3 linked regions of the Alligator mississippiensis genome follow. The protein of the gene in region 1 interacts with the protein of each later gene in a biochemical or structural test. Links are inferred from orthologs where the notes say so. Each region holds a gene or a part of one and is shown on either strand. Other genes may lie near its edges.

What was found.
Region 2: of the proteins of PPARG (region 1) and CDK5, one has a biochemical effect on the other in vitro, tested with the Homo sapiens proteins (3 studies listed by BioGRID, with this or other methods). The link is inferred for Alligator mississippiensis from reciprocal best matches to the Homo sapiens genes PPARG and CDK5.
Region 3: the proteins of PPARG (region 1) and NCOA6 interact in a test that uses a peptide from one of them, tested with the Homo sapiens proteins (2 studies listed by BioGRID). The link is inferred for Alligator mississippiensis from reciprocal best matches to the Homo sapiens genes PPARG and NCOA6.

The regions. Positions count from the first base shown.
Region 1 is NC_081835.1:30,992,485-30,996,228, reverse strand, and holds the start of PPARG (peroxisome proliferator-activated receptor gamma), read left to right. Parts: upstream 1-795; 5' UTR 796-798; coding exon 799-1,018; intron 1,019-3,744. UniProt on the Homo sapiens protein: Nuclear receptor that binds peroxisome proliferators such as hypolipidemic drugs and fatty acids.
Region 2 is NC_081828.1:220,005,600-220,009,343, reverse strand, and holds the start of CDK5 (cyclin-dependent kinase 5), read left to right. Parts: upstream 1-1,327; 5' UTR 1,328-1,400; coding exon 1,401-1,437; intron 1,438-1,585; coding exon 1,586-1,674; intron 1,675-1,759; coding exon 1,760-1,827; intron 1,828-1,905; coding exon 1,906-1,966; intron 1,967-2,047; coding exon 2,048-2,104; intron 2,105-2,191; coding exon 2,192-2,287; intron 2,288-2,372; coding exon 2,373-2,447; intron 2,448-2,646; coding exon 2,647-2,743; intron 2,744-2,842; coding exon 2,843-2,912; intron 2,913-3,030; coding exon 3,031-3,091; intron 3,092-3,165; coding exon 3,166-3,246; intron 3,247-3,689; coding exon 3,690-3,744. UniProt on the Homo sapiens protein: Proline-directed serine/threonine-protein kinase essential for neuronal cell cycle arrest and differentiation and may be involved in apoptotic cell death in neuronal diseases by triggering abortive cell cycle re-entry. Interacts with D1 and D3-type G1 cyclins.
Region 3 is NC_081832.1:23,729,785-23,733,528, reverse strand, and holds the start of NCOA6 (nuclear receptor coactivator 6), read right to left. Parts: upstream 2,635-3,744; 5' UTR 2,526-2,634; intron 1-2,525. UniProt on the Homo sapiens protein: Nuclear receptor coactivator that directly binds nuclear receptors and stimulates the transcriptional activities in a hormone-dependent fashion. Coactivates expression in an agonist- and AF2-dependent manner.

The sequences.
Region 1 (3,744 bases):
TCTCAGCATAGGCTACCATCTCTGCAAGTTTCATCCAGATCAGACAAAAACAACAAAGTTATAGATATTTCATTGATTCCCCATTACACCCTATGGCCGGATCTCCAAAGCAGCTCTGAAGCTTCAGAGCCATTTCTGCCGAATCGAAGCGGGAACCCAATCCGGAGCTCTGGATTGGATCCCTGGCATCTGAAGCAGCCGGATCCGAAGCTGAATCATATAGCTGCCTATTCACACAGGCCTAATTAAGACCATTAACAAAAGAGACAGGGGTGTTAACACCTGTGAAGTGAGAGCAGTTAGCAGGAATCAGTTAGATTATGATGAGACATGAAATCAATTGACTCCCTCAGCCAGTCCTGAATAGAAATGCTGCTGCTGTCCTGTACATTTGTCTTTAAATTTGGGTTGAGCAGGAATGAAAATGGGTTGTGATTGCACCACTCCACCCCCTTCTGGATCTGCCCCTGCTGGACTCCGCCCCTCCCTAAATGGGGCTGCTGGAGGGAAAAGAAGGAAAAGAAGCAGAAGCCACTTTACAGCATCTTCCTGCTTCTTTTTTGGGCAGAAAAAAATTAGCTTCCCAGCTTACAACAATGTATTCCAGTTCTGGGGAAAGGTGTGCAAGTTAATATGATAGTTTAAATTCTCAGTATATCATGCTTCCTGTGTATATTTTTGTCATTTATTCCCAAAATCACTTTGTCATATGAAGCTTTCAAGCCCCATTGCACAAAGAAAAAGCCAACTCTTTAAATGTCTGTCTGTTTTTCTCCTTTTTTTTTGGTAGGAATTACAATGGTTGACACAGAAATGCCATTTTGGCCGATTAATTTTGGAATTAACTCAGTGGATCTCTCTGCAATGGATGATCACTCCCATTCCTTCGATATAAAGCCATTTACAACCGTTGATTTTTCTAGCATTTCTTCACCACATTATGAAGATATTCCTCTTGCAAGAACTGACCAGACAGTCCTTGATTACAAATATGACATCAAGCTTCAGGAGTGTCAAAGTAAGTAATTTCTTTTTACATCTCAGAATATACCTATTTGAATTGCATAGTGCTTTAAGAAGCATGCCCTCAACAAAAGAGCTTTGTTTCAGACCCTTTGGAATAAGGGTCACATCTTTAGACAAAAATGTTCTTGAAGCTTTATTTAAAAAATAACCAAATCAAATATCTTTCATCTAGGGCTGTGCAAAGCTTCGGGTAGTGATTAAATTTGGAGGAGATTTGGCCCGATTTGGTGGCCGAATCTCTGAATACAAATCAAATCAGGGGAGCAATTAAAAGGTCTGAATTGATTCAAAGCTCTCTGAATCTTCGGAAAAGATTCGGAGAGCTTTGATTCTTCGGACAGTCCCTGGTGGCTGTAGCAGGGAGCTGGACCCAGACTCCATTCTGGTAAGTGGGAGGGTGATGGGGGAGGGGACCATGGGGGACCCCTGCCAGCCCGTATCCCCTGCCTGCTCCCCCAGCCCTCCCACGGGTGCCCCATCTACCCCAGCTCCTGGCATTTTTTTAAAAAGCCCCAGTGCTCATTGGGTGCTGCTGAGCGGGGAATCAATCCTGGCTGCCCCCCACTGCCCCACTCTGCATGGAGGTCTCTGCATGAGCCCCCCGACCCCCCCCCCCTCACTCCCCCAGGCTCCCCACGGCTGCCCTGCCTGGGTCAGCGCTGGCCGTTTAAGAAAAAAAAAAACAAGAAAAACCCCAAGACTCACCAGCTCCTGCAGCAGCCTTGGGGCTTCTAGGGTCTCATGTGGATCGCTCCCACCAGCAGGAATGGTGTGTCGGGGGGGGGTTTGGGGGGGAGTTCTTAAAGGGCCATCACGGTGGACAGGGCAGCCATGGGAAGGGCTGGGGCTCAGACAGGGGGGGTTGGGGGGCTCATGGCAGAGCCCGCCATGCAGCATGGGGCAGTGGGGGGCAGCAGGGATCACCACCTGCCCGGCAACACCCACTGAGTCGGGGCTTTTTTTTTTAACAAGTGCCAGGAGCTGGGGTGGGCAGGGCAGCGATTGCCCAGCTGGGGGGGATGGGCCTGGCTGATTTGGAGATTCAGCAGCAGCCAAATCTCTGAATCAGATTTGGCTGAATCAAATCAGGACAGTGATTTGAATCACCAAATTGAATCACTGTCCCCTGAATCAGCCAAATCTGAAGCGAATACTAGCCACTTCGCACAGGCCTGCTTTCATCTGATAAGAGGGCTAGCATTTCCATAGCATGTTACCTAAAAGTGAGAATCTCTTTTGCATCCTAAGCTGTTTAATGAAATCGTGGCCTAAATCTTGTCTGTATTAGGGAAGTTTGTATTAATATGACAATATTGATTTTTCTAATGTAGGGAAGCCCTTAGAATTGTACAGTTTACCTTTGGTATTGCTAGAGGATAGCAAAGAAGCCCCTAGCTTCTGAGTTGTCAGTAACACCTCAATTGAACCTTTCCCAGTCAGGCTTGGTCACCCTACTCCTGCTGAAGATCAGATTATTGACCTTCTGTTGCAAGATCAGCTAGAAGATTCTTTGACCTGATATTATTTTTGTTTGTGGGCAGAAACATAGCTAGGGCAGGGGAACCGGGGCTTCTGCAGCGTCGTGATCACACCAGTGGCAAGAGGCATCTGGAAGTTGCTGCTGCTCTCTTACGTCACAGCTGCCATGGGCAAGTAGCTGCATTGTTAAGCCTCTATTTGGGATTCAGTTCTTTAGCCATTTATTATAGGGAAGATACAAAGAGAAGCTGTGCAGTTCCACTGAACCACTATTTAACCCAATAGGTGAAAAAACATTTTTATATATAACCATTTCTTTGGTAGGAAATACCCATGAGGCTCTAATAACCCAGCATAGAAACAAATAGAATATAAAATCTTGATGCCCTCAATGAGGCAACTTTCCATTAACATGACTGTGAAGACTTTGGGATTTGGTCTTTTCTAACATTCTAAAATATCAGAACGATTTTTATCTTGACATCCAGTTGTTGCAAAGAAGGTGAACTGCAAGTGTTATAAAAAGGTATTTAAAGACTGATTAAAAACCATTGTCCTCCTGTTAAATATCCATGTTCATAATTAATTATTAAATGCATATTTTTGATTTTTTGCTATAATTTATTGTCTGTCAACTGCTAAATTCTGTCCTTAACTTTGCTGGTTTGGAGAGCACCTGTCCTATTCGTATGATTAGTGATCATGGGTAGAAAGATCAATGCTTTCTTTTATGGTCAACACTGTAGATCGTTGAAGATTTACCATATTTGTTTGTGTTTACTGGGATGCTTCAGTGAACAACTTTCATAAGAGAAAGATGGTAACAGTAAGCTGCCACTGGGTGCATCTACATGTGTGCTTTACTGTGGAGTTGACAAATTAGCTCCACAGTAAAGTGACACCATCCACACTCACACTTAGGGCCGGTCCAAGGGTAACTGGCACCTTAGGCAAACTGTTTACCTTGGTGCCCCCACCACTTCCAATATAGAGGAAAATAAGAAGTCTAGAATGAACTTTTACATGTACTTATTTGATATTCAAAATGAACAGTAAAACAATAAAAACAAAAACAGTATTGATTATTTCACACTTTTCATTAACCCTAGCAATTATACTGCAAAAAATCTAATAGAATCTATTATAATGTGTACAATTAAAAGAAAATCTTCACGAACATTTGTGTAAGAAATGAGAACTTTGCTGTTCATGCTTTCAGTTTTGTAAATTCAGAAACAA
Region 2 (3,744 bases), on another chromosome or scaffold:
CAGCGCCCCGACGCGCTGCCCCGCCGCCTGCACTGCAGAGCCCTGCTCCCTGCCCCGACGCGCTGCCCTGCCGCCCGCACCGCAGAGCCCAGTGCCCCGGTGTGCTGCCCGCACTGTGCCGCCCAGTGCCCCGACACGCTGCCTGCACTGCAGAGCCCTGCTCCCCGCCCCGCCGCGCTGCCCTGCCGCCCGCACCACAGAGCCCAGGGCCCCGATGTGCCACCCACACCGTGCCACCCAGCGCCCCGACGCGCTGCCCTGCCGCCCGCACCGCAGAGCCCAGGGCCCCGACGTGCCACCCACACCATGCCACCCAGAGCCCCGCCGCGCTGCCCCGCCGCCTGCACTGCAGAGCCCTGCTCCCTGCCCCAACGCGCTGCCCTGCCGCCCGCACCGCAGAGCCCAGGGCCCCGATGTGCCACCCACACCGTGCCACCCAGCGCCCCGACGCGCTGCCCTGCCGCCCGCACCGCAGAGCCCAGTGCCCCGGTGCGCTGCCCGCACTGCGCTGCCCGCACTGTGTCGCCCAGCGCCCCGACGCGCTGCCCCGCCGCCTGCACTGCAGAGCCCTGCTCCCTGCCCCGACGCGCTGCCCTGCCGCCCGCACCGCAGAGCCCAGTGCCCCGGTGTGCTGCCCGCACTGTGCCGCCCAGTGCCCCGACACGCTGCCTGCACTGCAGAGCCCTGCTCCCCGCCCCGCCGCGCTGCCCTGCCGCCCGCACCACAGAGCCCAGGGCCCCGATGTGCCACCCACACCGTGCCACCCAGCGCCCCGACGCGCTGCCCTGCCGCCCGCACCGCAGAGCCCAGGGCCCCGACGTGTTGCTCTCGCCATGCCGCCCAACACGATGCCCTGCGCCCTGCCGCCGCACGGCGATGCCCAGCGCCCGACGCGCCGTGTATCCCTGCCCGCTGCCCCGAGGCGCCCCCGCGCCCCCGCCTCGGGGAGGGGCAGCGATGTCACGGTGGCGGGCGGCCGCGTGCCCCGCGCATGGTGCCAGCCCCCCCGCCCCGCCCCGCCCCGCCCCGCCCCGCTCACCTGCACGGGGGGCCCGGCCTGGGGGGGCCACACCCCGCACGTGGCACGAGGGGGCACCCCGGGCTGCCTGGGCAAAAGGGGGCAATCCCGGGGGGGCCGCGCTCACCTGCCGCCGCCTGCGCCGGGGGGAGGAGGGGGGGGCCGCGGCTCCTTCCTCCCCCCGCAGGCCCCGCCCCCCCGGACTGCCCCCCATTGCCCGGGGAGAGGGGAAAGGGGCGGGGCGCGGTGCACGCCGGGCGTTGTAGTCCCGCGGGGCGGGGCGGGGCGGGGCGGGGCGGCGCGGTGCATGCCGGGAGACGGAGTGGTCGCGGGGCAGGCCGGGAGGTGTAGTGCGGCGCGGGGCGGCGCGGGGCGCGGAGCCATGCAGAAATACGAGAAGCTGGAGAAGATCGGGGAAGGTGCGGGCCGGGCCGGGCCGGGCCGGGCCGGGCGGGCGGGGGGGGGGGGCAGGGTTGGACCCGGGATCGGGCCCATCCATGCGCGGGGGCGGGGCGCGGGATCGGGCCCGCTGACCCCCCGCCCCGCCCCGCCCCGCCCCCCCCGCAGGGACGTACGGGACCGTGTTCAAGGCCAAGAACCGGGAGACGCACGAGATCGTGGCGCTGAAGCGGGTGCGGCTGGACGACGACGACGAGGTGCGGGGGGGAGGGGCACCGCGACACGTGGGTCGGGGTGGGGGGGCACGTGCCCCCCCTTGACCCGTGGCCGGTGCCGCCGCAGGGGGTGCCCAGCTCGGCGCTGCGCGAGATCTGCCTGCTCAAGGAGCTGAAGCACAAGAACATCGTCAGGTCGGGATCGGGGCCGGGGCGGGGTGGGGGTGGGGGTCCGGGCCCCGGCCCCGCCCCGGCTCACGGCCCTGTCCGCAGGCTGCACGACGTGCTGCACAGCGACAAGAAGCTGACGCTGGTCTTCGAGTTCTGCGACCAGGTAGGGCCGCGGGGGGCCGCGGGGCCCCCACCCCCGCTGTGACCCCTGACCCGACCCCTGACCCCGCGCTGTCCCGCCCAGGACCTCAAGAAGTACTTCGACAGCTGCAACGGGGACCTGGACCCCGAGATCGTCAAGGTGGGCGCGGGGCGCGGGGGGCGGCGCTGGACCCGCGTCGGCGTCGGTGCCGGTGCCGGGCGGCGCTGATACCGCGCTCCTCCGCAGTCCTTCATGTACCAGTTGCTGAAGGGCCTCGGCTTCTGCCACAGCCGCAACGTGCTGCACCGCGACCTCAAGCCCCAAAACCTGCTCATCAACCGGGTGAGTCGGGGCGCCGGGGCCGGGGCCGGGGCCGGGGGGGCTGGCAGCGCGCGGGGCGGCCGTGACGCCGCGCCGTGCTCCGCAGAACGGGGAGCTCAAGCTGGCGGATTTCGGCCTGGCCCGCGCCTTCGGCATCCCCGTGCGCTGCTACTCGGCCGAGGTGAGTGCGCGCCCGCGGCCCTCGCGCCGTGCGGGGCACCCCCACCATGCCACGGCGCGTGGGGGGACTGCCTTGCACCACCCCGCACCTCGGTGCTGCCGGGGTCGAGCGCCCACCTGCCCCCGCCCCCCGCGGCGCCCTGCCCCCGTGCCCCTGGCCCGGGGGGGTGTGCGGCGCACTGCCCGTCCGTGCCCCGCAGGTCGTCACGCTGTGGTACCGGCCCCCGGACGTGCTCTTCGGCGCCAAGCTCTACTCCACCTCCATCGACATGTGGTCGGCCGGCTGCATCTTCGCAGGTGCCGGGGCGCGTGGGCCGGCGGCGCGGCGCGGCCTGGCTGGGCTGGGGGCCGGGAGTCTGCCGGCTGCCCGCTGACCCCTCGCGCTCCTCTCCGCAGAGCTGGCCAACGCGGGGCGGCCCCTCTTCCCCGGCAACGACGTGGACGACCAGCTGAAGAGGATTTTCCGATATCCTTGGGTACGAGGGGGCGGGACAGGGCGTGTGGGGGGTCTGTGGCTGCTGGGTGTCGGGCCTCATGGCCCCAAGGTCCCTTCTGGTCCCGTGGCCCTTAACTCGGCCGCCCACGCTGCTGGGCACCCCGACTGAGGAGCAGTGGCCAGCCATGACCAAGCTTCCCGACTACAAGGTAGGCAGGGGCAGCTGCCTGGGACAGGGGCGAGGGGCAGGGAGCCCCCGGACTCACGCCGCCCGTCCCCGCAGCCTTACCCCATGTACCCGGCCACGACGTCGCTGGTGAATGTGGTGCCCAAGCTGAATGCCACCGGCCGGGACCTGCTGCAGGTGAGAGCGCCGCCCCGCCCCGCCAGGGACTCGGCCTCCGCGGCGGGCACGGCCTCGCATGCCTGGGGGGCCCCGGGGTCGTCGTCTCCTGCCCCCTGCGCAGGGGTGGCTGTGCGTCTCTGGCTCCTGCTGCTCCCATGCTGGGGAAGCCTCTCCAGCTGGGCCCCGAATCTGCAGCCCCTGCCGCCCCACCCCGTGCTGCCTTGTGCCCTGTGCGGGCATAGCTGGGTCCCTGCCAAGCGGGGCGTCCTCGGGGCTGCAGCACGTGGGGTGGGAGCCAGCTGCCCCTCTGCCTCCTCTCAGCACCCCCCTTAGCCAGGCCACCTTGGACCCCAGGCTGCCCCAGCTCCTGCGGTAGGGGTGGGTGTCCCGGGGGTGAGGGCATTGCTCCCTGCGGCCGGGCCAGCTCCCTGCTCACGCCACCCCCTTTGCTGCCTCCGCAGAACCTGCTGAAGTGCAACCCGGTGCAGCGGATATCGGCCGAGGAGGCGCTGCAGC
Region 3 (3,744 bases), on another chromosome or scaffold:
ACATTAGATGTTAAGATAACCACTAATATAGACTTTAAAAAGTCTATAGAAATGAACTGATAACATTTACTGGATTTAAAATATTTAAACACCCATAGCCGAGTTATATGGGGCTGTGGTCATAATTATCTTACAGACCTCATACAAAGTAGTGTTAAGGGTATTCACTGAAATGTATCTCTGCAGGTCCATACTCTCTAGTGTTTAAGCTATTAAAAGTTTAAACAGTTTACAAAGTTACAAAGTTTACAAAGCCTGGATTTCCAAAATTTCAAGGGAGTTTACTAGATGCACAGTATTTCTAGGCTAAAATATTTCATTGCACTTAACATGAAACTGCCTTAACAGCAAGCTCCTTAACAAGCAACTTCTTCATTTAAGATCTAGAGACAGGCTTTTACGGATAGTGTTGACCACAGGAACTCCAGTTTGTGGACATCTATATTAAAAAGAAGAATTGAAACCTAAGGTAGGGAGGGATTTCGTAACTGTATCACCTGGAGAAGTGACAAACATACTTCAGAAAAACAGCAGGTCTACAAACAGGAGCCAGTTAGGGTGAGGGGCCTTTATAATGAGAATTAGGAGCCCAGTACCACCACACAAAATGTCATGATAAAGCCAAAAGCAATCAGGGCTTGTAGTAGAGATAACATCTTTTATTAGACCAACAAGATCTTGCAAAAAAAATTCTTTAAATTGCAAGCTTTTGGGCACAAACACCCTTCATCAGGCATTGGAGAAAAGATTGTAAAAGTTCTCCTGGGTAGAAACAAAAGTTCTTATTTCACAGGATTTCACAGAGGAGTCAATAAATGGAAAATTCCTCTGGGCAGGCAGATACCTGACACATGATAAAGCCAAGATAGTCTAAGCTAAGTTTTAAATGAAGAATTGTGATCCAATGAATAGGGTGGTAAATTAGAAGGCAAAGAGACACCCTCCCCCCCCCCCCCCCACACACACACACAGTTCAAAAGTGACCACTAACTTTGGGTGCGTGACTGGACACATCTATTGTCCAATTTTCTAAAGGTCTTGATGTACACAACTCTGCATGGAGCCTCTAAATTCAGTGAGTGCATGCACAGAATCAAATTAAGCAAAGATGACATTTAATGTTACTCCTCTGCTTTGTCTCTATTTAAATCCCCCCCAAAATGCACCACTTCAATTAGGTTGTATATACATATCAGTGTAACTGAAATGTAAAGACAAAATATTTTATTTTAACCTTGTAGGTATAAGAAAGACTACACTTGCTATAACTGTAAATATAACAGGTGTCAGCATCTGATTAAGTGAATCTGAGGCTCAATGCTTGCGTGCACTCACTCTCTCATACTGCACGTGTGGGCAAGTGAGTAGGCATGAGACAGATATTGACAAGTATTTGCAACCTAATTAAAGTGGTGCACGTTGGGGGGGATTTAAAGAGAAACAAAGCAGAAGACTAAAATTAAATGTCATCTCTGCTTGATTCCCACCAAAATTCTTGTACATATCTTAGCTCGCTCTCAAAGCCTGCCTCTGGAGAGCCAGTGGAGAAGTCCGATACCCAACTCAGCTCAAGCACAACCATCCCAGATGGCTCTACTGTCAACTAAAGGGAACTTCCCCCAGAAGGCTAGAAAGGGTTTGTTACCTGGCTCCTTTCCAAAGGGGCTGTGGAGGATTCAAATATAAGTCACTGACTGAATGTAGGGGCCAGTTTTGCCTGCACTTGTTCAAGGTTGAGAAACAGGGGAAACAAACCCAACAGGGGCCCAGGCAGAATAAAAAGCCCTGCACTAGACAAGCAAGTCTCCATGCTGATACTGCACTGATGTCCCCGCGGCTTTGGGAGGAAGCCAACCTGTCCCCCCACTCACCCCCACCCCCAAAGTAAAACCTCGGCCTTCGTTAGCCCTTTCCGGATCAGGCCGCTGCTTCCCCTCCGCGGGCTCGGGCCTGCCGTGCAGTGCAGGACAGGACAGGACGGGCCGGGGCAGGCGGGGGCCTGGCGCGCGGACCGAGCGGCGGGGTCAGCGCAGCTCAAGGGCAGGGGTCCGGGGCGGGCGTAGCCGGCCCAGCCCGAGCACTGGCGGCCGCAGTGCGCGGCAGCGCTGCATGGGGCCGCGGCCGAGCGGAGCCGAGCCGAGCCGGCCGGGGGAGGAGCCGCGCGGGGGGCGGGCTCGCTGCGACCAGGCCGGCTCCAGACAACAGGAGCCGGCGGCTCGGCCGGACCGTGACAGCGCGGGGCCTGCGGACAACGCGGCTCCGCCCGCGCCGGGGCCCTGCTTTGTGCTGCGGCCGGGGGGGCCAGACCCGCCCCGCCCCGCCCCGCGGGCCCGGCCCGCACCGCCAGGCCGCTCCCTCACACCCGCCGCCCCGCTTCCGCTTCCCTGTCACAGCCGCCCCGGCCCGGCCTGACGGGCTGCACGGAGGGGCCCGGCCCGGCCTCTGACCTCAGGCCCGGCCCGGCCCGGCCCGGCCCGGCTCAGCCCCTCCCCGCCCTGCCCTGCCCTGCCCTGCCCTGCCCTGACCTTGGGGCGCCGCCGCGGGCCCGCTCCGCGCGGCTGCCGCGAGCCGAGGCCCGTGTTGGGCCCCGCTCCGCCGGGCCGCGCCGGGCCGGGGTCGGTTCGGTGCCTGCCCAGCGCCCAGGACGCGCCCGCAGCCGCCGCGGCTCCGCCCTCGGCACCACGTGACGGGCCGGGACACGCCACCGCCGCGCCTGCCGCCCAGCGCGCCCGGGGAGGCCGCTCGCCCGAGCCCCGCCCCGCCCCGCCCGCGGCCCCGGGGACGGGCCTGCCGGCCTGCCGCGCGCGGCGCCCCGACTGTGCGGGCGGCTCCCCGCCACCGGCCTCGTACGGCCCCGCGCACATCCCCGGCCTTCCAGCGTGGAGCTCGAGAACAGCGACCCCGCGCACGCACCCTCCCTTGTCAGGCGGGGAAGCTCAGGGGCTGAAGTCCTCCTGCCCCCCAGCGCACCTGCAGTGAAACCCGAGGCCTTGCGCCCAGGAACCAGGCTCGAGTCATGCCCCACGGCTGCTGAACCTTCGTGGCCCCCAGCACAACGTCTTATTAATCCATGACTGGTGTGTCTCTGTGACACCACAGGCTAAACTGTTCCCCCACCTTTGGACCAGTCGCTCTACACCCCCAATCCAGACCGCTGAAGCTTGCCTAGCTTCTGGTGATTTGTGTTGCTATTTCTATCCAGCTCTGCAATCCAAAGTCACTGCCTGGATAAAGCTGTAGAAGGAAAATGGGGCCTTTGTAGAAAAATAGTAGGTGGCACAGCTTGATACCTACAGCACTTTCAAAGCTAGAGTCTCAATCTGCTTTATAAATATCAGTAAATTATTCCTTTATCACATCTCTGTCTTACAGCAGGGTAACCTGAGGCAGTCAGACATAGTGGAGTGGAGGGGTTTTAACTGTGCACATACGCACAGTTAATTAGTAAGGCTCCAGTCTTACAAGATGTTTTGTGCAGGCAGGTTATTGCACCTGTCTGAAATAGCATGGAAGTCCACCTGAAAATGGCTTAAAAGATGAGCAGCCATAGGATTTTACATGCTGGTCCTATAAAGTTGTTAAAACGAGCAATGCTAAGGTAACACAGGAAATCTGTGGCACTGGGAACAGCAGTTCAGTCTTCTGTTTGCCAGTCCTTTAATCACAAGGCCATCTTTCCGTGGTGGTAGTGAAAATAAATATATTGTAGTTATACATTAAGACTACTGAAATAATCAAAGTTCT